Mus musculus: one gene and its partners. The protein of the gene in region 1 interacts with the protein of each later gene in a pairwise test. Links are inferred from orthologs where the notes say so. Each region holds a gene or a part of one and is shown on either strand. Other genes may lie near its edges.

Region 1 (4,229 bases):
GAAAGAGTCAAAACGGTTCTAGTGCCAGAAGGCATTATTGAGGGGAAAGCACAGAAGAGATGATTAAGAGCATCAGACAGGGTCCATCCCATAATCAGCCACCAAACACAGACACTATTACATATGCCAGCAAGATTTTGCTGAAAGAACCCTGATATAGCTGCCTCTTGTGAGGCTATGCCAGTGCCTGGCAAATACAGAAGTGGATGCTCACAGTCAGCTATTGGATGGAACACAGGGCCCCCAATGGAGGAGCTAGAGAAAGTACCCAAGGAACTGAAGGGGTCTGCAACCCTATAGGTGGAACAACAATATGAACTAACCAGTACCCCCAGAGCTCATGTCTCTAGCTGCATATGTAGCAGAAGATGGCCTAGTCGGCCATCATTGGGAAGAGAGGCCCCTTGGTATTGCAAACTATATGCCCCAGTACAGGGGAACGCCAGGGCCAAGAAGTGGGAATGAGTGGGTAGGGGAGCAGGGCGGGGGGAGGGGGGGTATAGGGAACTTTTGGGATAGCATTTGAAATGTAAATGAAGAAAATATCTAATAAAAAATAATTTAAAAAAGAGCGTCAGACAGGGGACTGAACAGCTCTTGACTAGGGGAGAAGAAGGCAATGTAGAGTAGTCTGTGAGTTCTAATCCTTGCTAAACACTGACTTCACCTGACCCCTACTACTTAAGGCCCCCCCCCTTACTTAAGAAGTCCCTGTGTTCTCTTACTTCAATCTACCCCCAACATCATGAGACCTGGTCAAAGAAGCTGTAGAAACCCAAAAGTTGAATCCATTTGCCCTTCTGGGTTTCTGTCTTTGCCTCCATGGACGATAGGGACACACACACACACACACACACACACACACACACACACACGCCCCAAATCTGGAGTGGTCCTGATGTGGTAGTGGTAGGTCTTTAGGGGTCTCATGGGACTGACATAGTATGGTTTAAGGTGCTGCTGAGCAGGAAAGAGAAGGCTAAGTGGATTTTCAAGACCCCTTCCCGTCCGTCCAAGACAACCCCTTTCTTGTTCCCTTCCTGCCCTGTCCACCAGCTGCCTTGGACCATGGAGGAGAGAGTAGGCAGGAGGCCCGGGTAGGAGTAATTGAAAGGAGCAGATGAGACGGGGGAATGCACCCACCCCCACCTTCCCTGCCCCACAGGGGCTGTGGAGAAATGAAAACTAATCAAATTACAGCCGACGGCCTCCCGACCCGTGCACAGGAGCCGCCTGGGCCAGGGGCAGGCCTGCAGGGTGGGGTGGGGGCAAAAGGAGAGGGAAGGGGAATCACATGTAATCCACTGGAAACGTCTTGATGTGCAGCAACAGCTTAGAGGGGGGCTCAGGTTTCTGTGGCGTTGGCTATATTTATCTCTGGGTTCATGCCAGCAGGGAGGGTTTAAATGGCACCCAGCAGTTGGTGTGAGGGGCTGCGGGAGCTTGGGGGCCAGTGGCAGGAACAAGCCTTTTCCGACCTGATGGAGCTGTATGAGACATCCCCCTATTTCTACCAGGAGCCCCACTTCTATGATGGGGAAAACTACCTTCCTGTCCACCTTCAGGGCTTCGAGCCCCCGGGCTATGAGCGGACTGAGCTCAGCTTAAGCCCGGAAGCCCGAGGGCCCCTGGAAGAAAAGGGACTGGGGACCCCTGAGCATTGTCCAGGCCAGTGCCTGCCGTGGGCATGTAAGGTGTGTAAGAGGAAGTCTGTGTCGGTGGACCGGAGGAGGGCAGCCACACTGAGGGAGAAGCGCAGGCTCAAGAAAGTGAATGAGGCCTTCGAGGCCCTGAAGAGGAGCACCCTGCTCAACCCCAACCAGCGGCTGCCTAAAGTGGAGATCCTGCGCAGCGCCATCCAGTACATTGAGCGCCTACAGGCCTTGCTCAGCTCCCTCAACCAGGAGGAGCGCGATCTCCGCTACAGAGGCGGGGGCGGGCCCCAGCCCATGGTAAGTGGCTAGTACACCAGATCCAGGGATAGGGCCAGAGGGAGGTGCCTGGTCAGCCCCGGGCCACCAGAGCTAGAACAGGTGCAAAGCAGGGCCCTTGGGATCCCTGGACCCCTTTCCTTGTCGGCTAGACTGTCCAGTGGCCTTCTGGGCTCATACTGTTTCCAAAATACAGATGGGGTAGGGTGGACTGGCACAGGAGAACAGAAGGGGCCCGGAAACAAGCCTGCAGTAAGGGCTTTGGTGAGCCTAGGTGAAAATGAGGGAAAAGTGGCCTAAGAAACCTGCTTTGTCCCAAGTCCACAGCCTTCATTTTTGACCTGACGAAACACATTAGAATGCCCACAGGCCTGCTCAGGAGCCACCGTAACAAAATACTGTGGTTTATCACCCTCACCGCCGAAATGAAAGCAAAGTTCTCATCCTAGAAGCTAGGAAAGACCTAGAAGTAGGATGTCTATGGTAACATTCTAGGGTAGGCAACTGACCCTGTAACCCAGGCAGAGAGAAATACCTGAGACTGGCAGTAGACTTGACCTTGGACCTTGGCCTTGTCTTGCATGCAGGTGCCCAGTGAATGCAACTCCCACAGCGCCTCCTGCAGTCCGGAGTGGGGCAATGCACTGGAGTTCGGTCCCAACCCAGGAGGTAAGTGAATCCTGACCCTGGTAACATGGCTCAAATCCCTTAGTCCCTACCTAGGCTGGGCTTGTACCCTTACCATAAGCCCTGTCCCAATCACCCTTCAGCAGCTTTTCTAGGAACTTGCTGACCTGAGGGCCCCAAATGGTGGGCTGGAGACCCTGTGCCTCCCGGTAGCCTTGACCAGCTAAAGAGTAGTCAGAGCCTCCAGCAACTTCCCTGCTGGTCTCTGACCTCAGAGAGAAGAGCCTGCTCCTGCCCCAGGGGTCCCTGGGGATCACTCAGTCAGTGTTGTAAAACTGTGCCCTGTGCCCTAGGATATCCTGGCTTCACCTAGGGATAGCCACTTTTAAAACCCCACAAGCACACACACAGCATGGGGAGTACTAGTGTCCTGGGGGCGGGGAACACTCCTGAGTCTTCCTTACCCATTTTGTCCTGGAAAATCTGTGTCAAGGGTCCCATACCAGTTGCCCAGGAAACATTCTCCCACTTTTTCTTGCAGATCATTTGCTCGCGGCTGACCCTACAGACGCCCACAATCTGCACTCCCTTACGTCCATCGTGGACAGCATCACGGTGGAGGATATGTCTGTTGCCTTCCCAGACGAAACCATGCCCAACTGAGATTGTCTGTCAGGCTGGGTGTGCATGTGAGCCCCCAAGTTGGTGTCAAAAGCCATCACTTCTGTAGCAGGGGGCTTTTAAGTGGGGCTGTCCTGATGTCCAGAAAACAGCCCTGGGCTGCCACAAGCCAGACTCCCCACTCCCCATTCACATAAGGCTAACACCCAGCCCAGCGAGGGAATTTAGCTGACTCCTTAAAGCAGAGAGCATCCTCTTCTGAGGAGAGAAAGATGGAGTCCAGAGAGCCCCCTTGTTAATGTCCCTCAGTGGGGCAAACTCAGGAGCTTCTTTTTTGTTTATCATAATATGCCTCGAATTCCACCCCCCACCCCCAAAATGAAACCGTTTGAGAGACATGAGTGCCCTGACCTGGACAAGTGTGCACATCTGTTCTAGTCTCTTCCTGAAGCCAGTGGCTGGGCTGGGCCTGCCCTGAGTTGAGAGAGAAGGGGGAGGAGCTATCCGGTTCCAAAGCCTCTGGGGGCCAAGCATTTGCAGTGGATCTTGGGAACCTTCCAGTGCTTTGTGTATTGTTTATTGTTTTGTGTGTTGTTTGTAAAGCTGCCGTCTGACCAAGGTCTCCTGTGCTGATGATACCGGGAACAGGCAGGGAAGGGGGTGGGGGCTCTTGGGGTGACTTCTTTTGTTAACTAAGCATTGTGTGGTTTTGCCAATTTTTTTTCTTTTGTAATTCTTTTGCTAACTTATTTGGATTTCCTTTTTTAAAAAATGAATAAAGACTGGTTGCTATCAGAGCATCTGCAATGATATTATCAAGAGGGGAGCCACCAAAACTCTGCACCTTTCCCTTGGAGGTCCAAATGGGAGTGGGGGGGTGTGGATCATGTGAGTGGAGCTGGAGTCCTGAGCTGGTTGTTAGACGCAGGAGCCAAGTGCCGCACAGCTTGGGGGAAAGACCGGATTCCTTAGAAACCCTGGGCCCACAGAGGCAGGCCTGTAAAATACTCTGTTTGTTGTACTTTCAGTCAGACGTCATTCACAGTTCCA
Region 2 (4,188 bases), about 96 Mb from region 1:
CCAGGGCCAGGGGAGGCGAGGGAGCCGTTCCCGGCCCGCCCCACCCGGGCTCTCCGGGCCCGGCTCGCACTCACCTGGGCCGTAGGCCTGGCTTAGCAGCGCCCGAGCCCGGCCCCACACCGCCCGGACCCCCAAACGACCTCCGAGCCCCTCAGCCCCACGCCTCGGACCCCAGCCCGAGCCCCGGCCGCGGGACGCGCCCCGTCGAGGCTCGCCCATCCAGGGCCCCGCGCGACTCCCGGAGGACCCCCGGCCCGAGCCCCGCCGCCTACCTGTCTTCGCTCTTGTTTTTCTGTTTCTTCCCCATCGCTTGTCAACGGCGCTCGCGGCCCCGGCCCCTCGGTTCGGTGTCTCACAGACCCACTGTCTCCCGGCTGACTCCAATGCCCGCTCGGCTCGGTCCCCCTCGCGCCGCCGCCTCTCGCACCCGGCTCTCCACAGACCCGCGCACTGGGACAGGGCACATATGGTGTGAGCCCTCAGTACGCAAGCGCATCGCCCCGCCGCCTCGGCGTGGGGACGCAGGGCGCGGCTCATCGAGAGCGGCGCTTCGGCTAGAGCGTCTCCAGTAGAGCCGCCGGCCAGGTGGGAACCCAGGCGCCCCCTCGCCGCAAGTGAGCGCCGCGCACCGACGTCCGGCGGATCCCGGGTTCTAGAACCTAGAGGACGACAATGAGGCCGTTCATTTCTCACGTCGGCACCCTTCCCGGGGCTGGCTTTCGACGCAGAAGTGGGACTGAAAATTCTCCCCTGCCTACGCGGCCTCAGCTGCGGGAAGTCCATTACAGGACCACAAAGAGTCAATGATGAGCGTTCTGGGGGTGGCAGGACAAAAAATGGGATCCCTCTCAGAAACACTCATGAATTGTCAACTGTGTACATTTATTAAGGGGAAAAAGACATAAGGACACAGCAACGGGTCCCCTAATATGAATCTTCGTATGAGCAAGTTCTAAAAATTCATGTGCCTAAGAAAGTCAGGAGGGAAGATCCTGGCATGGTGAAAATTTTCTCCATGTTTCGGGGCGATGTTACTAGTGTGAGCTGTGTATAAATTATAATGTACTGTAAGCTACACTTTCGAAACTATTAAACACAACGAGAAATGAAGCCCCTCTGTCACTCAGGCTCAAGACCCGGCTCGTTTCCCGGTAGAGCCGGGACCCGCAGTCAGTGCACAAAGAACTACAATTCCCAACGTGCCTAGCGCCCATCCCTCCGGCCATTAGCCCACGTGAAGCGTAGGCTCGGAAGCCAGTAGTTCCGGGTGGCGGAGGATAGGGCTTCTCCGAGGCTTTCGTCACTCGCCACCGCCCTTTCCGCGAGTGTCTCACATTGTATCGCGAGAGGACTGTAGCCAATGAAGTGGCGGAGTTAACAGCCCCTTCTCTGCCCTTAACAATTGCTGCGAGGTTGAAACCTGTGTGAACCCGGTGGGTATTCTTGATCTGCGGCTTCCTCTCTCCGTAGGCCTCATCAATAGTCCAGGTACGGCTGAGGGTGATGTGGCCGATAGTGCCACAGCGTCCCAGTGTTGATGAAGGACACATCCTCGGCTGGGATCGAGGGAGCGGCTGGGAGGGCCTCGTCTGGGCGGCTGCGGAGGCTACGGCGCATGCGCCCCAGTTAGTGCGAAATCGGGTCCCCCCGGAACTACTCCACCAGTCTCTTGAGCTCAGGGAGTGGCGAAGAGTCTGCTGACAGGTACATGGGGTTAGGGTTTCGGTTAGGAGTTTGTAGGGGAGTACATAGGTGTCAGGGCCCCCAGTTCGTCGGTAAGAATAATACTCGATTTGGTTCAATAAATAGAAAGTTATGTCCTTACCCCCAATATAAAGGCAGTGACCACCTCCGCCTAATTCAGGGCAGCACTTTTAGTCGCGTGAAGCTCCGCATTTAAACGTAAAGGTCTCCTGTGAAATTCTCGGTGATAAACGAATACTGTGATGCAGATTCTGAGTGGCTGGTCTCGGATCCTTCTCTCTCTTCCCCGAGTTAGGGATCCTGGGAGTACAGCTTCTTTTCAGTTGTATAGTATTTATGAGAAGCTGACAGTTGGAGTTTTTAAATGACCTTATGTAGCCCAGGCCTATCGCTCCAAATATGAGGTGTGACCCTTATGCTTCTGCCCTTGAGAGCTGAGGTTGTAATCATGAGCCACCATGCCCAGGCTTATTTTGTGTGTGAGCTGATTAGTTTTAGCTGTCAACTTGATAGAATAATCTACGGTCACCTAGGAAGAAAGACTCATTGAGAAATTGGGTAGATTAGGTTGGCCAGTGGGCATGGCTCAGAGAGTAGGGATTGTCTTGGTTGCATTAATTAATCTACTCCCAGATTAATGTTGTTCTCCAGCAGATGTTGGACACAAGTAGACGTGTGTGTAATTACTTCTCTCTGCTTCAAGAGCCTGCCTTTAGTCGTAGAAGCGATGGGCTGTCACCTGGACTTGTAACGTTTATGTCAGGATATTTTTGAGGAAGTATGCCGAAAAGCAAGCTAGTGTATTTAGGGATTTCCCTGGATTCTGGAACCATAAATGAGATCTTTGATGGTTTACATCTTTATTCTGGTTTTGGCAGGTGTTGGGGCCTACATGCTGAGTTCTAAGGCCAAAATAGTGCCTCCAACATGGCATCTGTTGTGTTAACCTCTCAGGCTCTGTTACAGAGACCCTGTTTTAAAAAAAAAAAAAAAAACAACAAAGCCCCCGAAATGTAAACTTAATACTTATTTTTTATGCCCCCTCCCCCAGCACCAAGACCACTTAGAACAATGGAAGGTAATGGATCCGTCGACATGTTCTCAGAAGTCCTGGAGAACCAGTTCCTCCAGGCCGCTAAGCTGGTGGAGAATCACTTGGACTCTGAAATTCAGAAACTGGATCAGATTGGTGAAGATGAACTGGAGCTGCTCAAAGAAAAGAGGCTGGCGGCGCTCAGGAAGGCTCAGCAGCAGAAACAAGTAACCTCCCGCCCGCCCGCCTGCTCACTGAATCACTGGAGCCCAGCTCCCGACTGCACTGCAGTCATGTGACTTTCCCTCCTCACTTGCAGGATGTTCTGAATTCACATCTCCGTCAATGTTCAATACTTAACCCAGGGATGAAACATTAGGGAAGGTTTAGGCAAGATGAAGCATTTGACTGGGGCGTTGATAGTAAAAGAGAGATGAAACGTCTTCTCATAGACCAAGCTTAGGGTCCACGTATCAGAAAGAAGTATCATGGTTCTGTACGAGAAGATATTTAAGTGTTAGACTCTGCATTTTTATTAGGTTATCTTTTGTGGGGGGGCAGGACAGGAGCAGGATCTCACTGTATAGCCATGACTGGCCTAGAACTCACAGACAACACCGCTTCTGCCTACGAAGTGCTGGAGTTGAGCGCCAGCACCCCTGTTCTGTTTGTGGTTTTCATGGCCACTCAGTGACGTGGTTGGTTTGTCACACTGACTTACAAGAGAGAAGGTGAAGGCTCGGAAGGTTCATTAGAACCCTGGTCAGTTAATGCTGGGGTGGGTGTTGCCACTGCTGCCTGAGGAGGGAGAGTGAGCATCTGTTTGAGGTGTCAAGCTTTCTGCCACAGGAAAGGTAGAAGGGGCTGGAAGAGTTCCCAGGATTGTGGGTAATGGCCCTTCCTCAGCCTGGGAAGCTGAACGTTTCCTTGTGAGGCTTTTCCTTGGCTCTGGACCCCACATGGATATAATACTCTTCCTTCTGAGGACTCTGCCCACTGTTGGCTGGTGTAGAAGCCCTCCCTGTTTTGAGATGGATAGGTTCTTAAGCTCCTGAGCGGTGATGACTGCACTGTCCCCAGGATAGACGGACTTTATTTCTTGAGGTGGTTTGGTTTGTTTAGTTTTTGCTGTGGATAGGACATTGTTTCTAAGTATACCATGCTCAGTCTGTATAATGTTGCTTGTGTGTACATTTTCAAGGCTGACCGTTCGGTAGTGGATAGCCAGTTGGTGTGCTCTCCCTGGAGAACACTCTTTCTCCCACACTCAGCATCCCTTAATTGTCTGTAAGAACATTATTTTCTAAAGTGTAGAGCTCTTCCCTAGCCTGCTCTTCCTGGTTTAGTCCCTCGCATCACAAAATAAACAGAAAAACACTTTTGTAATCATTTGGATCAAACAATCCTGATTTTACTAGTTTAAAGAGCATGCATGTGAAAGTTAAATTGGT
Region 3 (2,405 bases), on another chromosome or scaffold:
ATTTTACCTCTTCTAAAGTGGATGCTTCCTTCTGGCTTCACCATCACACCATCATCAACTGAATGCTCTGTCCCTTATGCCCACTCATGTGGCTCATGCTGACTGTCTGTACCCCTTCACCGATACCCATTTCCTTCTCCTCTGAGACCTTCCCTCCCATGAAAGAAGACTTCCATGCAAATTTTCTGCTCATCAGTAGTTTCTTCTAAGTTACCATACTGAAAATATAACTTGCCAATGAGGTTACAGCCAACTTCTGATCTTCTCTGAGGCTTCTTTTGTACTCAGAGCCAACAAGGGAGCCTTCTCTGCCCTCCCCTCCACCCAATTTCTCCCACCAGGGTCACTACCCAAGCCACCCCCCACCCCTGAGAAGTGCTCCCTTAATTCAAACAAGCACTCCTTAAGCATAACCTCCATCTTCCATTCTTTCTTTAGTATCTTGTGGATAACCTCCAACCCAGGAGAAACAAATGAAAAAAGTCAGAACAATTAGCTTTCATTTAAACATTTTATTAGTAGTCATGGACACCAGGGGAGCCTCCTCTGCTATTAGCCTTCATGGTTCTAGCTGAGTCTGTGAGGCTTTCCACCCTTGGGTTGTGTACCCCATTCTTTAGCCATTCCTTCTGGGTCCAGGCATCTCGTCAAACAGAGAGAAAGGCGCATTCTTGAAGCCTCGAGAGGGTTCGCGGTCGTTGTCTCTCTGTCTCTCTCTATCTTGTGAGATATTTTGCTGGTTGTTGATGTTGGCTTCGGAGCCCACCACCTCCAGGATGTAGTCGGTGAGGTAATCAAGCATGGCAAGAAGGAAATCTGAAGTTGTGGACCCTATGCAGGGGGTATATTGCTCCTCCTGCAGTATACGGTACACATAATTCACAGGAACCTGTACCTCAGGCCTAGAAGAAGGATCTTCTATCTGGTTGTTGTCGCTGCAAGGCTTTTCTTGGCTCTTCTTCTCCGACATGATGGTTTGATGGATTGGGCTCCGGTAAGCTCTGCCTGGTTCACCAGCAGGACTGGCTCTCTGAAGACACTGTTCAGTCAGGCCCATTGCACCCCCAGCTTCTGCACCTCATTGGTCAGGAGCTACCTTTATGACATCTTAGGCTTTGAGATGTCATTGGTGCCTGGTGGGTTATGGGTTCTGACTAGGCCTCAGAGCCTAGAAATATCTATCACAGCAATGTGGCCACCCTACCTCGATTTTGAGGAAACTGTAGCTCTCCTCAGTTTACACTTGAATTAACATTGTAGAAATAATGTTTTACTGGAAACTGTATGTCGTCACAACCATTCTTTCAGTAATTATGGGGCAGTAATAAGCATGTCAAATACATTTCCAGGTAGAGGTTTGACTGTCCTCTTCAAGCAGTGTTGAGACCCATTTTGATTCAATTTACTTATTTAAATCGGCTTGGTTAACAATCCTGTACACCTTTGAACATGTATTCATTCAGTATCTACATGAGTTGTATCTGATCTTCAAAATATCTATTTTTTTGAAGAGGAAATGCTCAGTGTGCTTCTGGTACATAGATGTTGGTATCTGTACTTTGTGTGCCATTTGAGTCAGGATGTAGCTTTCTTGGATTAGTTGGGTTAAAGCCAAGCCCTAGTATAGATATTTAATTTCAATTTTTCTTTCTATTAATATCTTGTTTCTGCTTTTTGGTTGTATTTTAGTTCACTTGTACCCAATAACTTTCCTATTCCAAGAGAAAGAAAGTATAATGAATCTTCAATCTAGTTAAATGTTAAAACCCAACTATGTAAAACTTTATTGGATATCAGGGCAGAATAATAACCTCATGAGATGTGAGACCATTTACCCTGGCTCTATTGATTCCATGGTCTTATCTATAGCCAGATCTCTTCCCTCTAGACTCGCCAATAGTTTCTTTGAATCATGTATCCTTTGAGTGATGGTAACACAAGGTTATGAGTGAGTAATCTTATACACTGTTGTTCTTCACAAAGTTTAAGAATCCCACAGACTTTTGTCATTTCATCTTCTGTCACCTTTGATCTAATCTGACATTATTTCTGCTGATATAGCATTTCCCAAAGCTTATAGATCTATATAACTCATTTCATCAAACATTTGATTTTTTTCATGGGTCCTTAATTGTAAAGGATAGTCATGCTTCATCCACAGACCCAGAGAGGCTTAAGTAACAAGGAGAGCTCTAGGGGTAAAGCCTGGATCTCCCTGGGAAGGGGTGATAGAATAGATTATGTGGGTATACTGGAGGTGGGTAGTGAAGGAACAGGAGAGACCAGTTTGGGGAGGAAGCAATGGAGGGAGAGAGTACAGGGAGAGACTACTGGAACTTGGGGGTAGGCTTGAGGGTCAATGTGGAAACCTAGAGCAGCGGAAACTTCTTGAAACTTATATGAGA
Region 4 (4,104 bases), on another chromosome or scaffold:
AGTAGGGCCTGCTCTCCCCTGTCTAGGGGGTGGATCTGCAGGTCTCCCATAGCAACTGGTCCTTATGATGTCACAGTAAAGACTAGTCTTCCTGGACCTCCTAGTTTGGGAGAGTATGGTATGTCAGGGGCAAGGAGGGAGGCGGGCAAGGGAAGAGACCAGAAACCTAGGGTAAATTTGTTGATGTTAGATTCAGAGCAAGCCACATAAGACAAATTGGCTTTGGTATGCTGGAAAGTCATTCGCTAGGCTTCCTCATTTGTGGCAGGGAGAACGAGGATTTGGAGAACAAACCTGTAGAGATCTGAATCATGCTGAGAAGATGGTTCTGGGTGACACTTGTCTAATTATCCATTTTCTCATAGGTTAAGCAGTATGTAGATAATGCCAATTTTTTTCCTGTGCATTCTGACAAACTGGAACAATTATTCTGCTGGTAGAAATATAAAACTACAGGTTCTTTAGAATCTTAACTCCACCACAACTCTGTTTCATTATAGAAAATTTAGTTCTAGGTTTTACATCTAGGTGTATGAACCATTGTTTTTTACATAGATATTAATTTGCTATGGATTGCTCATTGTTTCAAAACCATTTGTTGCAAAGACTGTTCAAATGCATTGTCCCCCATGTTAGACTAGCCACGAATGTATGGCCCTACCCCACATATTTTTGTCCTTAAGTATCTACTCTTGGTCAGTACCACCGTGTTCTAGCCAAGGGCACCTTTACTTCTTGCACCTACCCATTTTCCTTATCGCCCACCCTTCCTGGCACAGCTCTCCTCTCTCCAGCCCTGCTTTTGTCGCGGTTGTCCTCGACTCGTAGCAGTCACCAAGGAGAGTTCTCTGTAGAGCCTGTGCTGACCCTGACACCCTAGGCGTGGTACACCAGCACTACCTCGCTCCACAGTTTCCAGGGCAACCTCTGGCGCGCGAGTCTGGGCGCCAATTTCCGGCTTGTCGGGAATACTGACTAGCTGTGCGTGCACAAAAGCCTTCCGGGTACAGGTCTCGAATTCTGCCCAGGGTAGGGTATCTTCGTTCCTGTCATTCTGTGGATACTTTATGAGGCTTCGACTGCGGGGTTTAGCTATGCTTTTACAAATACAAAGGAGACTCGGTCACAAAAGGTTATAATGTGCTCCATATATCAGTGAGGTAATGAGAGTTCCAACGGGACCAGAGCCAAAAGCGCTCTCTGAAAGACTATGACGTTGCGCAGCTCGCAAGGTGCTTGGCGCCACCTGTTGGTCTGTGTCCTGCGCTTGCGCTCACCACCCCTCTTCGCTTCCTGTCCTGTTTGGCCTGGTCCGCACGCTGTCCAAGGCCTCTGAGCGTTGCTATAGAGACCGGAGAGCGCTGGGCCTGCGAACTCTACAGAGACGGGCAGCGGCGCCCCAGTGGACTCTTGGGGACCAGAGCGCCATGTCTTTCCGCGACCTCCGCAGTAAGGCTGCACCCGGCTTTCCCGTGGGCTTCCCAGGATCTCGAGACTCCCCTGCCGGACCCCTGCCAGAGCCGTGGGCCCAGGCAGGCCGTGGGTCCCTGGGCCAGCCAGGGGCTGACAGAACTTTACAGCACCTTTGGAAAGTTCGGTCCGTCACTGGCCACGTGTAGCTAGAACACTGGGAATGTGTCTCGAGCCGCTGAAGAACTGAATGTTTAATTTCACCTCATTTTATCTCTGGTTGTCACGGCCACATTTGCAGCCGCATTAGAAAGGTCTTGCGGAAATGGAGACTTCTTCTGCATTTAGTTTGTAGAAAGAACCAGTAAAGCCGAGGAAGTGGCCGGATGAATGGATGGCTAGTGCTGCTAGGTTGTTTTGTTCATTTTTGAGGGTTTGTTTTGTTTGTTTGTATGTTACAATCTGTCACATGCTGTCCTCTATGTGGGCAATATTTCATTTACTCCTAGCAGGTTTGTGCCCTGGTTAGAGATGAAACAGGCAGCAAGAGGTCAAAGTAATTGAACGAGTTGCTTTAGAGTTTGAATCCAGCTTGCCTGAATGCCAAATACTGGGCAGAGAACTTGGCTAGAGAGTGGGGAAGCAGACTACTCTTACTCGTTATACTCTTTGGGGGAAACATCCTTTTTGTGGCAGGTGATTATATTTCACCCTTATTGTTCCTAGTTTTAACTGCAAGTTAAGTAGTATAGCTACCCCTGGTTCACACAGCTAGAGTGATGGGACTGTGTGACCTAAAAAATCTTACTTCACTTACAGAAGAGTAGCAGCTATTAGGGTCGTGTTGTCTAGGGTTTGAGGGTATTTGAAACAGTGTAATTATGACTGTCCCACGTAGTTTTTGATGAGGCTGGCACTTTACTGGGATCATTGAATAGTGATCATTGTACTGGAAAGAATATTTAAAAGGAGTATTTCAGAATTTATACTGATTTATATTTTTTTACCTTAAATAAATGCTGTATAGTGTGTAATCTATGAGACTGTCACCATTTATAACAGTGGAGAACTTGATAGCTACTACTTAGCTAAAAGGAGTGTTTAGGCAAAACCTGACTTTTTTCATAGAGGTATAAGGAAAAGCTGCAATATAAAGGGTATACATATATGGGATATATGTGTGTGTGTGATATAAGGGAAAGAAATAAGGGAAGGATGCTTCCTATCTTTCTACCATCTCTTCGTGACCTAGCAGAGTCTGCCTGCCCTGCTTTGTTGCCCAGATAGATTGTTTGGAATGCTGAATGTACATTTTGAATACCCGTAAGCATGAGTAGACATTACATTGCCAGGAACCATGGTCAAGATCTCAGCATATTGTAAGAACTCAGAAATGTTGGTTGTTTTCTTGCTTTCTTGCTCTCTTTTACTTGTTTTTCAAGACAAGGTTTTTTCCTGTCTTGAACAACAGCCCTGGATGACCTAGAACTTGTTTCATAGACCAGGTTAGCATCAGGTTCACAGAGGTCCATCTGCCTCTGCCTATGAGCACTGGGATTAAAGGTATGCAGCACCACGCCAGGCTTGGTTGCTCATCTGTAAGCCTCGCTTTCTTCATCATTGTTTTCTCCTTTCTTTCAAGCAGTGTGGCTTTGTTTTAGTTGCTCCCAACTTAAAATATTACTGTTTACTAATCTTTGGTTTTTCGAGACAGGGTTTCTCTGTGTAGCCCTGGCTGGCCTGGACCTCACTCTGTAGACCAGGCTGGCCTCGAACTCAGAAATCCGCCTGCCTCTGCCTCCCAAGTGCTGGGATTAAAGGCGTGCACCACCACGCCCAGCTTGTTTACTAATCTTTTTTTTTACAGTAAATCTAAATACTGCAGATAGTTCAGCCATTCTCTTATTAAATTTTCTCTGACTATAAAGTAATTGATCTTTAAAATTTATGTCATGAAAATCATATATGGTCACTGGAGGAAAAAAAACAATGTATAATCTTGTTCTAACAACGTGTTTTTCTCATGTTTTATGAGGCTAGGTAATTTTTATTTTGGATAGCAAAGAGGCAGCTACCAGAGAGAAATTAAAGCCCCAGCTAATACCTACGCCCCATTTCTCCAAAGGAAATCTACTATCGTTGAACTTGGGTGTTTTTCAGGTGATGGATTAGATATTGTTTCAAATCTCCCCTTTCCTTTCCCCATTCTAGAATTGATGAATTCAGCACCTGGAGTTGAGAAGACCTGATAAGAAAGGAAAGCATTAGATTAACTGTTTTCCAAAAGGAGATGCTATTTGACAAGGACTGACTGAACTGTGTTTTATATTGCACAGATTTCACCGAGATGATGAGAGCCTTGGGGTACCCACGCCATATTTCTATGGAGAATTTCCGCACACCCAACTTTGGGCTTGTCTCTGAAGTGCTTCTGTGGCTTGTGAAAAGGTTAGAATGCATTTTATTCACACCTTGGTGTGGATAGTTGGTTTCATTCAGTAGCTAACTGGAACTTCTAATGCAAAGGAAGGCTACAGTGAGGTTTGCATAGGATGGACTTAGCTGTAACTTATAAAGAGCTGCCACGCACGATGGTGCAAGTAGATGTCTGTTAGTTCAAGGTCAGCCTGGCCTACATAACAAGTTCCAGGAAAGCCAGGGCTGCGTAGTGAGAGACCCTGTCTCTTTCATTTT
Region 5 (3,832 bases), on another chromosome or scaffold:
CGGGTTTTATCTTTTTCCACCTTTACAGCCTTGTCCAGGCCTGTCGGGTTGAAGGCCAGAGGTCAGGTTCTGGAGCACTGTGGTTAATGAGTAACTCTGACCCCCAAATCAACAGACCACCGCAGACGTCAAGTCAGGAGAAAGATACGTGTAGGCTAGCCACTCCAGAGCCGTACAGCTGCCTGACCACACAGGGAAAACAGACCACAAGCCCCTTAGCCGGGGGACTTCTGGCTGTCAGCCCGGGTGTGGCCTGCCGCCCGCCCCACTGCCTAGCTGAGCTCAGCGTGACTCAGCAGAACTGGCCTTGCTACCCCTTCCACTAAGGGCCTCAGCAGCACATTCTTCCTGCTCCGCGTGGCTCCCTTGACCCATCTTACTGTTTCTTCCTTTAGCCCCTTTTCATGATTGGGCTCGTTTCCCTTTGCTCTCTTCCCAGGCTTCTGAGATTAGACCCTGGTATGAGCCCGTCCTGTCCTCAAAAGTCCAGTTGGGCCTTGCATGCCCCAACTGTTCTGCGTAAGACTGACTGTCTGTTTCTGGGTCCTGAGTTCTTGCTCTCCCTAACTCTCGGGCCTTTTGATTCCAAAAGAGCAACCTGCAAGGAGGCTTCTGGACCAAACTCCAGGAAGGAGCCCAGCAATTCTCCAAGCGCCATCATGCGTGTCTGTTTCTAGAAAGACAGGTTCACTGACACAGACCCAGACAGACAGGCTGACCAGAACTCCAAAGTCCTGTCTGGGCCTCCACATGTCACCTTCCAGAGCACCCGAGGGAGGTGCACACACGGTAACCCAAGGCTCTCTGCCCACTCCAAGCCCTCAAAGGGCTTCACGACCTCCTGGGTTACAGAAAACAGAAAAACAAGCAAACAATCTTAGTTCCTATGGTGAACCTAAAACCCTATACTTCTGGGCATCCCTTCCATTCCCTCAAGGAGATCTCTAGAATCTTTGGAATACCAGACTTCCTCATGACGTGACATATCCCTTCATTGTGTGCAATTGGACATATGGAGGTTCCCTTTGCATTTACAGACATTACCCCACACTCAGCCCATCCCCAGATCCATGTTCTCAGGCCCCAAAATTCTCTTTTGTGAGACACCCAGAAAAGGACCTCGAAGTCATCCCCTCCCCAGGGTCTCAGTGACCCGGAGCCCAGAACCCTGCGACCCCTCCAGGTTGCGCCTCCGGATCCGGACCACCGCCCCTCCCCCAAGCCTCCATTTCACAAGGCCTCGCGCTCCAGTCCCGTGACTTCATCTCATGGGACTGGGTGGGTGGGGAGCGAGGTTCCCCTCAGCTCCGGATTGGTCAAGTATACTTTTCCGTCTCCGCCTCACGCCACCGCCGATTGGTTAGTCTCGGGCCTGGGGCACCCCTCCCTCCGGAGGGTCAACATGCTATAAAAGGAGCGCTCCTTGCCCGGGACTTAGAGCAGCGCCTTGGAGGTCCCGTGGATCTGTGTCTTGCTTCAACAGTGTTTGAACGGAACAGACCCGGGGATTCCCACTGTACTCGCTTCCAGCCGCCTTTACAAGTCTCTCCAGTCGCAGCCTCCGGGACCATCTCCTCGCTGCCTTCAGCTCCTAGGACCAGTCTGCACCGTCTCTTCGCGGTTAGCTCCTACTCCGGATCAGCCATGACCTCTCAGATTCGTCAGAATTATTCCACCGAGGTGGAAGCTGCCGTGAACCGCCTGGTCAACTTGCACCTGCGGGCCTCCTACACCTACCTCTCTCTGGTGAGCAGCTCGGGGTTGCCTTCTGAACGGGGGGGGGGGGGGGGGGTCCATCACACCCACCCTCCTGCGCATGCGCGGGCCTTCTTTGTTCCATGCAGGGCAGAGACTGTGCTCCGACCTCTCCCTCTCCCTGCGCGCTGTGTACATAGTAGTTTTGTCTGACTGGAACTCGCTGGGCAGACCGGGCTGCCCTCGAAATCTCACACGTACTGCCTCTACCTCTTGAGTGTTGCGATTGAAGTTTACAGTGTGAGCCGAGCCACCGCGTTCCGTTAACTCGTATTTGTAACCTCCCGCAGGGCTTCTTTTTTGATCGGGATGACGTGGCTCTGGAGGGCGTAGGCCACTTCTTCCGCGAATTGGCCGAGGAGAAGCGCGAGGGCGCGGAGCGTCTCCTCGAGTTTCAGAACGATCGCGGGGGCCGTGCACTCTTCCAGGATGTGCAGGTAAGAAGCGGGGGTATTGGGCACTACCGAGCATGTGCGTTTACTTGCCATCCCCATAGTTTGGGCATCCGGATAGACGTCTTGGAAGGGAGTGGTGGCAGGACTAGTGTAGACAATAGGAGTATGTAGAGCAACTAAACCCACCAGGATGTCAGAAACTGGAAAATGGGGGTAATTACAGAATACAGATGAGGACTGCTGGGCTGGGGAGAGGCGGTGTCTCTCTAGCTAGCATGGAAATCACAATGTAGACCAGGTTGCCTCCTATCAAGAGATCCTCCTGTCTTCTCGCCCAGTCTCTCAGTGGTGGGATTAAAGACAGTATCCCATTATTTTTCCCCACTGTGCCCACTTTTCCTGTGCAGTCAGTTTTATATTGGCTGGGTGAAGGATGTAATCTAGGCTTGATATTCTTGTGTGCAGAAGCCATCTCAAGATGAATGGGGTAAAACCCAGGAGGCCATGGAAGCTGCCTTGGCCATGGAGAAGAACCTGAATCAGGCCCTCTTGGATCTGCATGCCCTGGGTTCTGCCCGCGCGGACCCTCATGTAAGTACCTTGCTAATCATTTCTTCCCTTCTCTGACAAAACCTAGACTGTTGTGTGTTGGCTTTCAGCTCCCAATAATTTAATCCTCCTGCCTCCCGAGTGCAGATTGCAGAAGCACCACACACAGTACTGAGGACACACCTACCTACCTACCTACCTGCCCTTGAGGGCAGGATTTTTTTTTTTTAAAGCTTCCTGCTCACACCTGTCTCTTAGAACTCGGTGTCTGATGTCTCTTCCTTCCTTTACAGCTCTGTGACTTCCTGGAAAGCCACTATCTGGATAAGGAGGTGAAACTCATCAAGAAGATGGGCAACCATCTGACCAACCTCCGCAGGGTGGCGGGGCCACAACCAGCGCAGACTGGCGCGCCCCAGGGGTCTCTGGGCGAGTATCTCTTTGAGCGCCTCACTCTCAAGCACGACTAGGAGGCCTCTGTACCTTCCAAGGGGCTCCCCCCTCTGCTCTGCACCAGCCCGCCCTGGGACCTCCACCTGAATGAACCTCTCAAGCCACTAGGCAGCTTTGTAACCGCCCTGGAGCCTCTGTCAAGTCTTGGACCAAGTAAAAATAAAGCTTTTTGAGACAGCAGCTGGTGTTTTTTCTATATATGTGGGAGGGGTGCACGAGAAAGAAGAGGTTGGCTGTATGTACTCCTGTTTTTTGTGGGAACCCACATGTGATAACTTACAGCGATCTCTGTGTGGTAGTATCTGCCTTTTCATGTGGCAAATCCAGGTCGTAGGAGTCTGTAGCCTGTAGCAGTTTGCCAGTCCTTGGTTTATGTTACTGTGCAGGGAAGTGAAAAGGCTTAAACATCCAAGTTCAGAAATGAGTTAAACATACAAGTAGAAGGCCAGGAGGTGAGCAAGCTGAGCCCTGGGTGCTGGCTGAGCGAGGGTGGGGAGCCAGGGTGTCTTGCTGGATTCCGAACTAGATGCTGGGCCCATCAAAAAGAGGATGTGAAACTTGGGACCATTGCCCAAATGGGAACTAAACCATTGCAAAGGGGTTAGAAACATGGGAAGTTGGTGGGGTGGGGGGTGGAACACCGGACAATACTGCTGTGTCAGCTCACACTGGTTAAAACA
Region 6 (4,156 bases), about 47 Mb from region 1:
CCCATTCGTCTAATGTAATACTTCCTCCCACCCCCACTGATCACAAAGGATTTCTTGAGTTTTACTATCTCCCCCCCCCCCATTGTTAGAAATTCTTCACAGTATGGATAGTCAAGAGGCACTGTTCAAAATAAAATAAAATAAAATAAAATAAAAAACAAACAAAGCCAGGCAGTGGTGGCACACGCCTTTAATCCCAGCACTTGGGAGGCAGAGGCAGGTGAATTTCTGAGTTCGAGGCCAGCCTGGTCTACAGAGTGAGTTCCAGGACAGCCAGGGCTACACAGAGAAACCGTGTCTCGGAAAAAAAAAAAAAAGGCCCTGTTCACCTGACCCACATTTCACATGAGCAAGCTGGGGTCCAGAGTAAGAGGAACTCTCTAGAACACTCCTTTATAGGGTTCAAATTTCCATCTCTGATCCAATCTCAGACACTGTAAGAAAGACTCCTAGCCCTGCAAATTCCTTTCGTCCTCTCTCTTCTCAAAAGCCAGAGTACTTGCAAGGCTAGGCCCAAAGCCACTGGGCTGGGTGTGACAGGAGAGCTTCCTCAGCCTCCCTTACATGCCAGGCAATAGGATGATCCCCTGAGGTCTTCCTGAGGAGAAAAAGCGTGACCTTGCTGAGTGACCAGGGGACAACCACGGGCCAGTCCTGGGACACTTTCCTCACCTGTAAATACAGGCACGAACATCAATTTCTACCCCTCCTCTCTGGTGATTAAAAATAAACATCTAACAATGTAATATGTTCAGCAGATGGGTCAGGAAAATGCGTGCCTCATAGCTCTGGAGTTACATCACCAACTAGGGAATTTATTCCTGTGTATGTGATGTGGTTTTGGACAGTCCTTAGGAGTGTGGGGACAATGACTTCAGTTGAGGAGGCAATGATGAGTGAGACCATCTCGGTCCTCAGTAAGTTTGTCACCCTGGTTCGACTCCCCCCACCCCCCACTTCACCCAATATATAGGGAAGGTCTTAATGTATCCCAGGCTGTCCTCGAACTCACTATGTTGGTTAGGCAGGTCTGGATCTTCCTGCTGCCATTTCCCAAGAGCCAGAATTGCAAGTTTGTTTGTAGTGCTCTCTCGTCCTCTCCAAACACCAAGAGCAAAGGATCAACTGCCAGAGAATACCATTTACTAAAGGTTACTATGCCTGACATTTTCCCCCTGGAATCCACGGGGAGGTTAAAGTGGATGGCCGGCAGCCTGCGTAGACAATGCTCAGTGCAAGCAGCCACACCAAGACAGCCCCGGTCGGAACAAGCGCTGTCGTCCCGGGCCACCCGTCCGGGAAAGAGGCCCCGCCCAAGGCCTGAGCACTGACGTTCCGCTGAGCGCCTCGCCAGCCAACCGGAAGTAGCCGGGCCCTTAGCGATGGGACCCGGTAGAGCGGAAGTCACTCCGTGAGGCAGTGGCGACAGCGGCGGCAAGAGGATGAACAACAAGTTCGACGCGTGAGTGGCGCGTGGCCGACCCCGGGGCCCCTTCCCCCAACCGTCCCCCGGGACCGCTCCCGCCGGGGCCGGGCGCGCCCTCAGCCGAGCCGCTCGCTCCCGGGCCGCCGCAGCCCGAGCCTTCCTGCGCCCGCGGGCCCGACGGGGCCGGGAGAGCGCGGCCGAGGTCGCCGGGACCCCTGAGCCGCTGGACCCCGGCGCGGCACGGGCCGGGGGAGGGGAGGCCGCGCCGCCCGGAAGGAGATTTTCGGACGCCCCGCCCTGGTGGGTGCGGGCTGCCGGCGGCGTGGAGGGGCGGGACCTCAGCGCTTCGGGTGTTTCCGCAGCCTTGCTGCCTTCTCTCTGAACGCGGCTTCCCTCCCGCACTCGCTCGGCGTCCTGGGAAGGTCACCTCTCCCTTCCGAGCCTCGATTTTGTCTTCTGCAAGCGGGGACGGTAACAGAGCCCGTGTCGTAGAGTTGGGCAGCTGCGATGAGGTAATGGGGCAGCCGCGCTGAGTACTGTGGCCTCTCGAGTACGGAATGCTTTTCATCTGAGATTCTTCCTGCTTCCTCCCCGACCACCACCCTCCCTTCATCCCCCACCCCGTCCCTGTCTTTCAACTCTTAGTGGCTGCCCACCCCTGCATTCATCTCCAATTCCCGCAGCGAACAGTTGGGAAGTACAGAGAAGAAATATGTGTTGGGGTGGGGGATGGGGGGGTGAGAACATTCCCCTCCTAACGATTAAATCTTTTAGCATTTAAAAGTAATTTTCGTTTTCATCTAGCCCCACTTAAGTTAGTGTTTCACAAGAATTGTATCCCTGGGTAGATTGCAGTGCTCCCTCCTCTCTATGGTTTGTAGTGATCAAATCTGGTTTATCATTCAAAGGCCTACATTTTTAGTTTTAAGCCCACCAGCTGTTTGACAGTACAAAAGTCCTCCAGTCTGAGCCATCGATCTCACCTCTGTAGTGGTTAGGACCGGAAGGACCACATCACGCTCTGCAATACTTAGAGGTACTGTGTAAAATGCTGAGCATGAGCTGTGAAGGGAAAGTGGACTCACTGATAGGTGGTGAAGCTGCAGGTTTTCAATACAGTGAGTTCAGAGGTGCAGACTCAGGAAGTACTGGGATGGGGATTCCAGTTGTACAGCCAGCTCTTCCTTAGGTTTTCATGGTGGCTGAGTGAGCTCTGCTTCTTGAGAAAAGACCTGATGTCTTCTCCACCTTGCTTATTAGCAGAGTCCAGCAGGATAGAGATCCATTGGTCTCCTGTCATAGGCCCTGCAATACCTAGCTTCATACCTGCAGCCCTTCCTCCCTTCTTCTCCTATTGGAACAAATCAAACTGCATCCTAAGAAGATAGTTTTTAGGTTGCCTGTCTTGAATAAGGATGGTTATGTTGGCCACTGTCGTCGTCACTGTTCTGTTGCTGTTGAAGAGATGCCATGACCAGGCAACTGTTTTTTTGTTGTTGTTGTTTTTGGGGGGTGGGGGTGGGGTCTGAGACAGGGTTTCTCTGTGTAGCCCTGGCTGTCCTGGAACTCACTCTGTAGACCAGGCTGGCCTTGAACTCAGAGAAATCCGCCTGCCTCTGCCTCCCGAGTGCTGGGATTAAAGGTGTGTGTCACCACTGCCCGGCCGGGCAACTCTTATGACAAGTTTTTTCTTTTTCTTTTTTACTTATTTATTTAACTAACAAGGCCACACACCTCCTAATCCTTCCTAGCAGTTCTGCTCCCTGGTGACTAAGCATTCAAATATATGAGCCTATGGTGGTCATTCTTAGTCTAGCCACTGCAGCCACCCAGAGGCATCCCTGTGGATTTGTTTCCTAACTTTTTAGGTTAGCATAGAAAGTAGCAGGTTCTATTAGGACACCTTCATACTCAGGCCATTACTTTGTTCTCCTTCTTCCCTGCCCCCACTGGACTCGCTGTGGTCCCTCTCTAGCTCGCTTTTTTTCTTCTAGCTGTCCCCCAAGTCCCTATTGCATGTATTATATTCCTCTCTATTTCCCACTAGCTTCTTCCTAATAACTCTGCAAAAGAGATCTTGGCATGTTTTCTGATAGTTAAGGAAAATGAGGCTTTTCAAGGTTAAGTAACTAGTGCAAGATAGCCTAAAGGGCCAGCTCAGGCTCACTCTTCTACTTTGTTCAAGTGTCTTTATCAACATTTGCTGGGTGGTTTAATTGTTTATAACTATGAGCTGTTGTAAAGAGTAGGGTCTTTTAATGCCCTCTTCCTCCTTCTTCTTCTTTTTTTCAATTATTTATTTTGTATATGAGACACTGTCACTGTCCTCAGACATACCAGAAGAGGCCATTAGATCTCATTACACATGGTTGTGAGCTACCATGTGATTGCTCACATTGAACTTAGGACTTGGAAGAGCGGTTAGTACTTTTAACTGTTGAGTTATCTCTTCAACCCCACCTGTCTTCTAACTTTGCAATAAAGGACAAAAATAAAAGCTTGCTTTTATTTGAAATTAGCAATTAAAATGGTACCCTTGTCCCTGGTTTTGGTTTTGTCATTTCAGATTTTCTTGTGAAAACCCTGCAGTTTGTAGAATGTTGCTCCTTATTTGGAGTCTGTACTCTTTATAACATCTCCCCAGAATTTTCCAGAATCATTCTCAAAGCGTAGTCTCCAGTGAGTGCAGTAGTATGATCTGATGGACACAGATTAAAGAGGCCCTCTAAC
Region 7 (4,244 bases), on another chromosome or scaffold:
GGTGGCTCAGTGGGTAAGAGCACTTGCAGTCAGGCCTGGCATCCTTCCACACACGTGATGTATTGGTACCATTACATACATACACATATAAAATAGAAATACATTTAAAAAAAAATTTTAAAAAAAGCCAGGCGTGGTGGCACACACCTTTAATCCCAGCACTTGGGAGGCAGAGGCAGAGGCAGGCGGATTTCTGAGTTCGAGGCCAGCCTGGTCTACAAAGTGAGTTCCAGGACAGCCAGAGCTATACAGAGAAACCCTGTCTTGAAAAACAAAAACAAAAACAAACAAACAAAAAAACATGGGTTTTGTTTTTCTTGTGTATGCATTACAGTACTCTCTCTGACATTAGCTCGGATGTGGGTCTCTTGTTTGCTTCTTTGTGTGTTATCTAACTGTCCTGAGAGCATCCAGGGGATTCTTCTCTCCATCTTCCTACTCACAGGAGCCTAAGATTAGACTCTTGCATTACCATGCCTCTTTACAGGTGTTCTGAGAATTTGACCTTGTGTCCTTGCACATCAGGGTTTGGCTTCGCACCCTGGAACAAGTGACTGAGGTGCATATTTTACCCGTCAAAGCAGACCTGGCCTCCAGGTTCTCCCAGCATCCTTCAGTCCCCACCTGGCATGCTCTGCCTCCACCCTGAACTTTCCAGCCCAGAGGCTGGGCTGCCCTTCCCCAAGAGGTTCTTCCCTATAGAATCCAGACATTTTGCTCTTGCTCTCTGGATCGATCTATCTCCCTCCCCCTGCCCCAGGCCCTTTCTCTTCTCCCTCTCTGCCCTTCCCATGGCGGTTCCCCGGCCTCTGTTCTTAAGGCCAGTGAACTCACCTGAGAGCAGCTTCCCAATAAACCTGCCTTTTAATATATTCTAATCTGTCTTGAATTGGCTCATTTTACCAGCAGAGAAATAACCTATCAGTCGTCTTGCATGCTTGAGTCACCTCCCTAGCCATTTTGTTCATGTATAGATGTACAACTTTTTAATGGTTTTTTTTAAGGTTTCATTGTATTCCTATGTATTTTAAAAATTATTTTTATGTATAAGGATGTTTTGCTTGCATGTATATTTGTGCACCATGTGAATACCTGGTGCCCTCAGATACCAGGAGAGAGTTTCCTCAGAAACTGAAGCTAAAGATGTTAGGCATCATATGGGTGCTGGGAATACAATCCAAGTCTTACATAAGAACAGCCAGTGCTCTTATCCCCAATGCCGTATCTCCAGCCCCGTATGTAAGTTTAACCAAGTCTCTATCGATCATTGCCTAATGCGTTATTTTTAGCAGTTATAAATAACGTTGGCATGAATGACCCTGTACATTTAATTTTTGTGCTGTATATCTTGGGGATTTCAAGAGTATAGGACCAATGCATTTTGGCGCCGGTGTGGTTAGAAAACACAGGCCAGGAGAGTTCCGGCCTCCGGTCAGCAGGTGGCGCTGCGCCCGCGACTAGCCGGAAGCGCCGATTGCCCCGCCGACAAACTGCTGGTGGCCGCGCAGGCGCGCTGTGCGGCTGGCGCGGGAGCCTGGCGGAGGGTCGCGATGCCGTACGCCAACCAGCCAACAGTGCGGATCACGGAACTCACCGAAGAGAACGTCAAGTTCATTATCGAGAACACGGACCTGGCGTAAGGCGGCGAGGGGAGAGGCGGGCGGGCGGCCGGGTCCTCGAGCTCCTGACCCCGGGGCTGTGGCTTCGGGGCCGCTCACACCGCCTGTCTTTCCTCCTGTAGGGTGGCCAATTCCATTCGGAGGGTCTTCATCGCAGAGGTGCCCATAATAGGTAAGCGACCGTCCCTGGGAGCCCGTGCCGCCCACCCTCCGCCCGGGGTGGGGGCTGAGAACACTGCGGTGCTGTACGCTGGGCTGGGGCAGCCTAGGCCCGCCTTGGTGCGTGCCTTGCTCAGCTGCGGGTTTCCCAGTACTGTTCGTCTACCCCAAAGCAACAGAAATCAAAACCAAGCACTGTTAAACAGCGGAGGGCTGCAGCCTCCTCATCCGGGCGGTGTAGATGCTAGGCGTCGTTAGCAGGTGATGCAGCGATTGCCGAAGTAGTGTAGATGATGCGCTTTTGCTTTGACGTCAGTGTTCGCTACTGGCTGGTGTCTTTTGAACATATATGCTGATTTTACAAAATCATGGGCTTCGTTATGTAGTTTGAAATCTACACACACAGAGTGTACCTGGTCTCTCCCATCCTTCCAGATAGTACCCTGCTATACTTTCTTGTCGTCTCCCCCTATCTTTTTGAAAACCTTTATTTACATATATGTGTCTATCTCTGGGCTCGAGTACCGGAGTTCATGTGTAGAGGTCAGAGTACAGCTTGTAGGAGGGATTCTCTTCTCCCACCATATGGGGCCCAGGATTGAACTCCTTAAGGCTTGACAACAAAAAGTATCTTGCACATCTTGCAGGCTCCGAACTTTCTCTTTATTAAAGAGAGAAAGAGAAAAAGAGAGAGATTCCACATGAGAGAAAGCATGTGTTATAAAGATTTTCTAATTTTGTTTGTTTGTTTGTTTTTCAAGACAGGGTTTCTCTGTGTAGCCCTGGCTGTCCTGGAACTCACTTTGTAGACCAGGCTGGCCTGGAACTCAGAAATCTGCCTGCCTCTGCCTCTGCCTCCCAAGAGCTGGGATTAAAGGCGTGCACCACCACTGCCCGGCTTAAGATTTTCTTTAACAAACAACATACTTTTGTTCCTTATTGTTGAAGTGTGTGTGTGTGTGTGTGTGTGTGTGTGAGAGAGAGACAGACAGACAGACAGACTTCGGTTTTTTGTTTTTTTAAATCCATCCTGGTGTCTTTTTAAAAATGAATTTCTTATTTCTGCTGCATATGTAAATCATGTACGTTTTCAGTTAGAGACAAGACATGAGCAAACATAACAAGGCAAAATATGACACCTTCAGGAGAATCTGACCAGTTTTATCGTTTGTTTGTTTGTTTGTTTTGAGAGAGGAAGGAGGCCAAAAGGGAGTGGAGCGTTTGTAAACATGGACACTCGAGGTTTTCTGAGATGGGGAATTCCCACCAGGGGTCGGGGAATGGGAATGGTGGAAGTAGATTAAGGGCATTCAATGGGCCCCAGAAGTAAATCATCAGGAAGCTTGGTCCTTGCTTGAGTTGAGGAAGCACTGCGGTGAAGGGCAGGTTGGGCCTATCCTCAGCTGGTCTTCCGGCCTCTTCCTGGCCTACATCAGCTCCTTGAGAACTGGGTTTCCAACACCACTGATTTCTGAACATTATTGTTTACATGCAGGTGTTTGCTGATGGGTGACTAGACACATGCTTAAGTGCAGCATCTGTATGCTACAGCCCCATTTGCCCAGCAGTGCCTGGGGGGGGATTGGGTTCTATTGTTAGTGGGCTTTCCCTGGTGAAGCTGTCCAGTGAACATCTACTGATGAGAGGAACACTGAAATTCCAAGTGGGCTATCTGGTTATATCACAAACGAGGTGTGGGCCCTGAAACTTGGGATGTTTTGCTGTTGTGATGTTTTCCCTGACTTTTAAGTTTTTAAAATTGTGTCTCTGTGTGTGGGTGTTTACCAGTGAATGCAGGGGCTGGAGGTGGCCAGGGGTCTCAGATGCCCCTGGAGTTGGAGTTACAGGGGTTGTGAGCTGCCTGACATGGGTGCCAGGAACCTCAGAACTGCGGAGCCATCCCTCCAGCCCATGGTGTCCAGATAGCTTTCGTTCTTGGGTTTGGGATTGGCACAGGTAGCAGATTTAAAGTAATCCTTAGATAAGTATTCAACTCCTTAAATATCCCAAAAAGCTCTAAGAGAGAGTATGTGCATGCATGTGTGGTGTATCACTAGCAAGGCCCATCCCCCACTGGGGCAGGAAGGTGTTATGTATGGCGTGTGGGATGCCTGAACCTGGAGCCATCACTTTGAAGTCACTTTGAGCCTCTTGCAGCCTGGTCAGGACACCTTCAACTTTGTAAGCTGAATTGATGCTTGCTTGCTTGCTTGCTTGCTTTTTTTTTTTTTTTTTTTTTTTTAATTTTTGTTTTTGTTTGGTTGGGTTTTGTTTGTTTGTTTTGTTTTTTGAGACAATGTTTCTCTGTGTAGCCCTGGCTGTCCTGGAACTCACTTTGTAGACCAGGCGCTGGCTCTGCTCCCTGAGCGCCGGGCAGAGTGGAGACAGTGCTGCTGCAGGTCTGTAGATGTGTCTGGTGACTAGTCCTCACTTACCCTGTTTTGTTGCTGCCTTTTCCAGCCATCG

What was found.
Region 2: the proteins of Myog (region 1) and Txndc9 interact in binary tests that used the Homo sapiens proteins (3 or more experiments, as listed by UniProt). The two-hybrid records come from large-scale screens. The link is inferred for Mus musculus from reciprocal best matches to the Homo sapiens genes MYOG and TXNDC9.
Region 3: the proteins of Myog (region 1) and H2ap interact in binary tests that used the Homo sapiens proteins (3 or more experiments, as listed by UniProt). The two-hybrid records come from large-scale screens. The link is inferred for Mus musculus from reciprocal best matches to the Homo sapiens genes MYOG and H2AP.
Region 4: the proteins of Myog (region 1) and Cluap1 interact in binary tests that used the Homo sapiens proteins (3 or more experiments, as listed by UniProt). The two-hybrid records come from large-scale screens. The link is inferred for Mus musculus from reciprocal best matches to the Homo sapiens genes MYOG and CLUAP1.
Region 5: the proteins of Myog (region 1) and Ftl1 interact in binary tests that used the Homo sapiens proteins (3 or more experiments, as listed by UniProt). The two-hybrid records come from large-scale screens. The link is inferred for Mus musculus from reciprocal best matches to the Homo sapiens genes MYOG and FTL.
Region 6: the proteins of Myog (region 1) and Eif4e2 interact in binary tests that used the Homo sapiens proteins (3 or more experiments, as listed by UniProt). The two-hybrid records come from large-scale screens. The link is inferred for Mus musculus from reciprocal best matches to the Homo sapiens genes MYOG and EIF4E2.
Region 7: the proteins of Myog (region 1) and Polr2c interact in a two-hybrid assay, tested with the Homo sapiens proteins (2 studies listed by BioGRID and IntAct). The link is inferred for Mus musculus from reciprocal best matches to the Homo sapiens genes MYOG and POLR2C.

Annotation. Positions count from the first base shown.
Region 1 is NC_000067.6:134,288,575-134,292,803, forward strand, and holds Myog (myogenin), read left to right. Parts: upstream 1-1,429; 5' UTR 1,430-1,481; coding exon 1,482-1,952; intron 1,953-2,518; coding exon 2,519-2,600; intron 2,601-3,099; coding exon 3,100-3,221; 3' UTR 3,222-3,974; downstream 3,975-4,229. UniProt on the Homo sapiens protein: Acts as a transcriptional activator that promotes transcription of muscle-specific target genes and plays a role in muscle differentiation, cell cycle exit and muscle atrophy.
Region 2 is NC_000067.6:37,994,409-37,998,596, reverse strand, and holds the start of Txndc9 (thioredoxin domain-containing protein 9), read left to right. Parts: upstream 1-1,388; 5' UTR 1,389-1,488; exon of another isoform or gene 1,489-1,704; intron 1,705-2,755; 5' UTR 2,756-2,775; coding exon 2,776-2,964; intron 2,965-4,188. Other genes in the region: Eif5b (eukaryotic translation initiation factor 5B), read right to left, coding at 273-307. UniProt on the Homo sapiens protein: Significantly diminishes the chaperonin TCP1 complex ATPase activity, thus negatively impacts protein folding, including that of actin or tubulin.
Region 3 is NC_000086.7:9,845,596-9,848,000, reverse strand, and holds H2ap (huntingtin-interacting protein M), read right to left. Parts: upstream 1,055-2,405; 5' UTR 971-1,054; coding exon 617-970; 3' UTR 501-616; downstream 1-500.
Region 4 is NC_000082.6:3,907,705-3,911,808, forward strand, and holds the start of Cluap1 (clusterin-associated protein 1), read left to right. Parts: upstream 1-1,304; 5' UTR 1,305-1,427; coding exon 1,428-1,449; exon of another isoform or gene 1,450-1,796; coding exon of another isoform or gene 1,797-1,821; intron 1,822-3,222; exon of another isoform or gene 3,223-3,570; intron 3,571-3,746; coding exon 3,747-3,858; intron 3,859-4,104. Other genes in the region: 1700037C18Rik (uncharacterized protein C16orf90 homolog), read right to left, coding at 746-749. UniProt on the Homo sapiens protein: Required for cilia biogenesis. Appears to function within the multiple intraflagellar transport complex B (IFT-B). Key regulator of hedgehog signaling.
Region 5 is NC_000073.6:45,457,444-45,461,275, reverse strand, and holds Ftl1 (ferritin light chain 1), read left to right. Parts: upstream 1-1,389; 5' UTR 1,390-1,644; coding exon 1,645-1,746; intron 1,747-2,045; coding exon 2,046-2,192; intron 2,193-2,615; coding exon 2,616-2,741; intron 2,742-2,992; coding exon 2,993-3,169; 3' UTR 3,170-3,332; downstream 3,333-3,832.
Region 6 is NC_000067.6:87,212,558-87,216,713, forward strand, and holds the start of Eif4e2 (eukaryotic translation initiation factor 4E type 2), read left to right. Parts: upstream 1-1,356; 5' UTR 1,357-1,442; coding exon 1,443-1,462; exon of another isoform or gene 1,463-1,933; coding exon of another isoform or gene 1,934-1,938; intron 1,939-4,156. UniProt on the Homo sapiens protein: Recognizes and binds the 7-methylguanosine-containing mRNA cap during an early step in the initiation. Acts as a repressor of translation initiation.
Region 7 is NC_000074.6:94,856,006-94,860,249, forward strand, and holds the start of Polr2c (DNA-directed RNA polymerase II subunit RPB3), read left to right. Parts: upstream 1-1,444; 5' UTR 1,445-1,550; coding exon 1,551-1,636; intron 1,637-1,741; coding exon 1,742-1,791; intron 1,792-4,238; coding exon 4,239-4,244. UniProt on the Homo sapiens protein: Core component of RNA polymerase II (Pol II), a DNA-dependent RNA polymerase which synthesizes mRNA precursors and many functional non-coding RNAs using the four ribonucleoside triphosphates as substrates.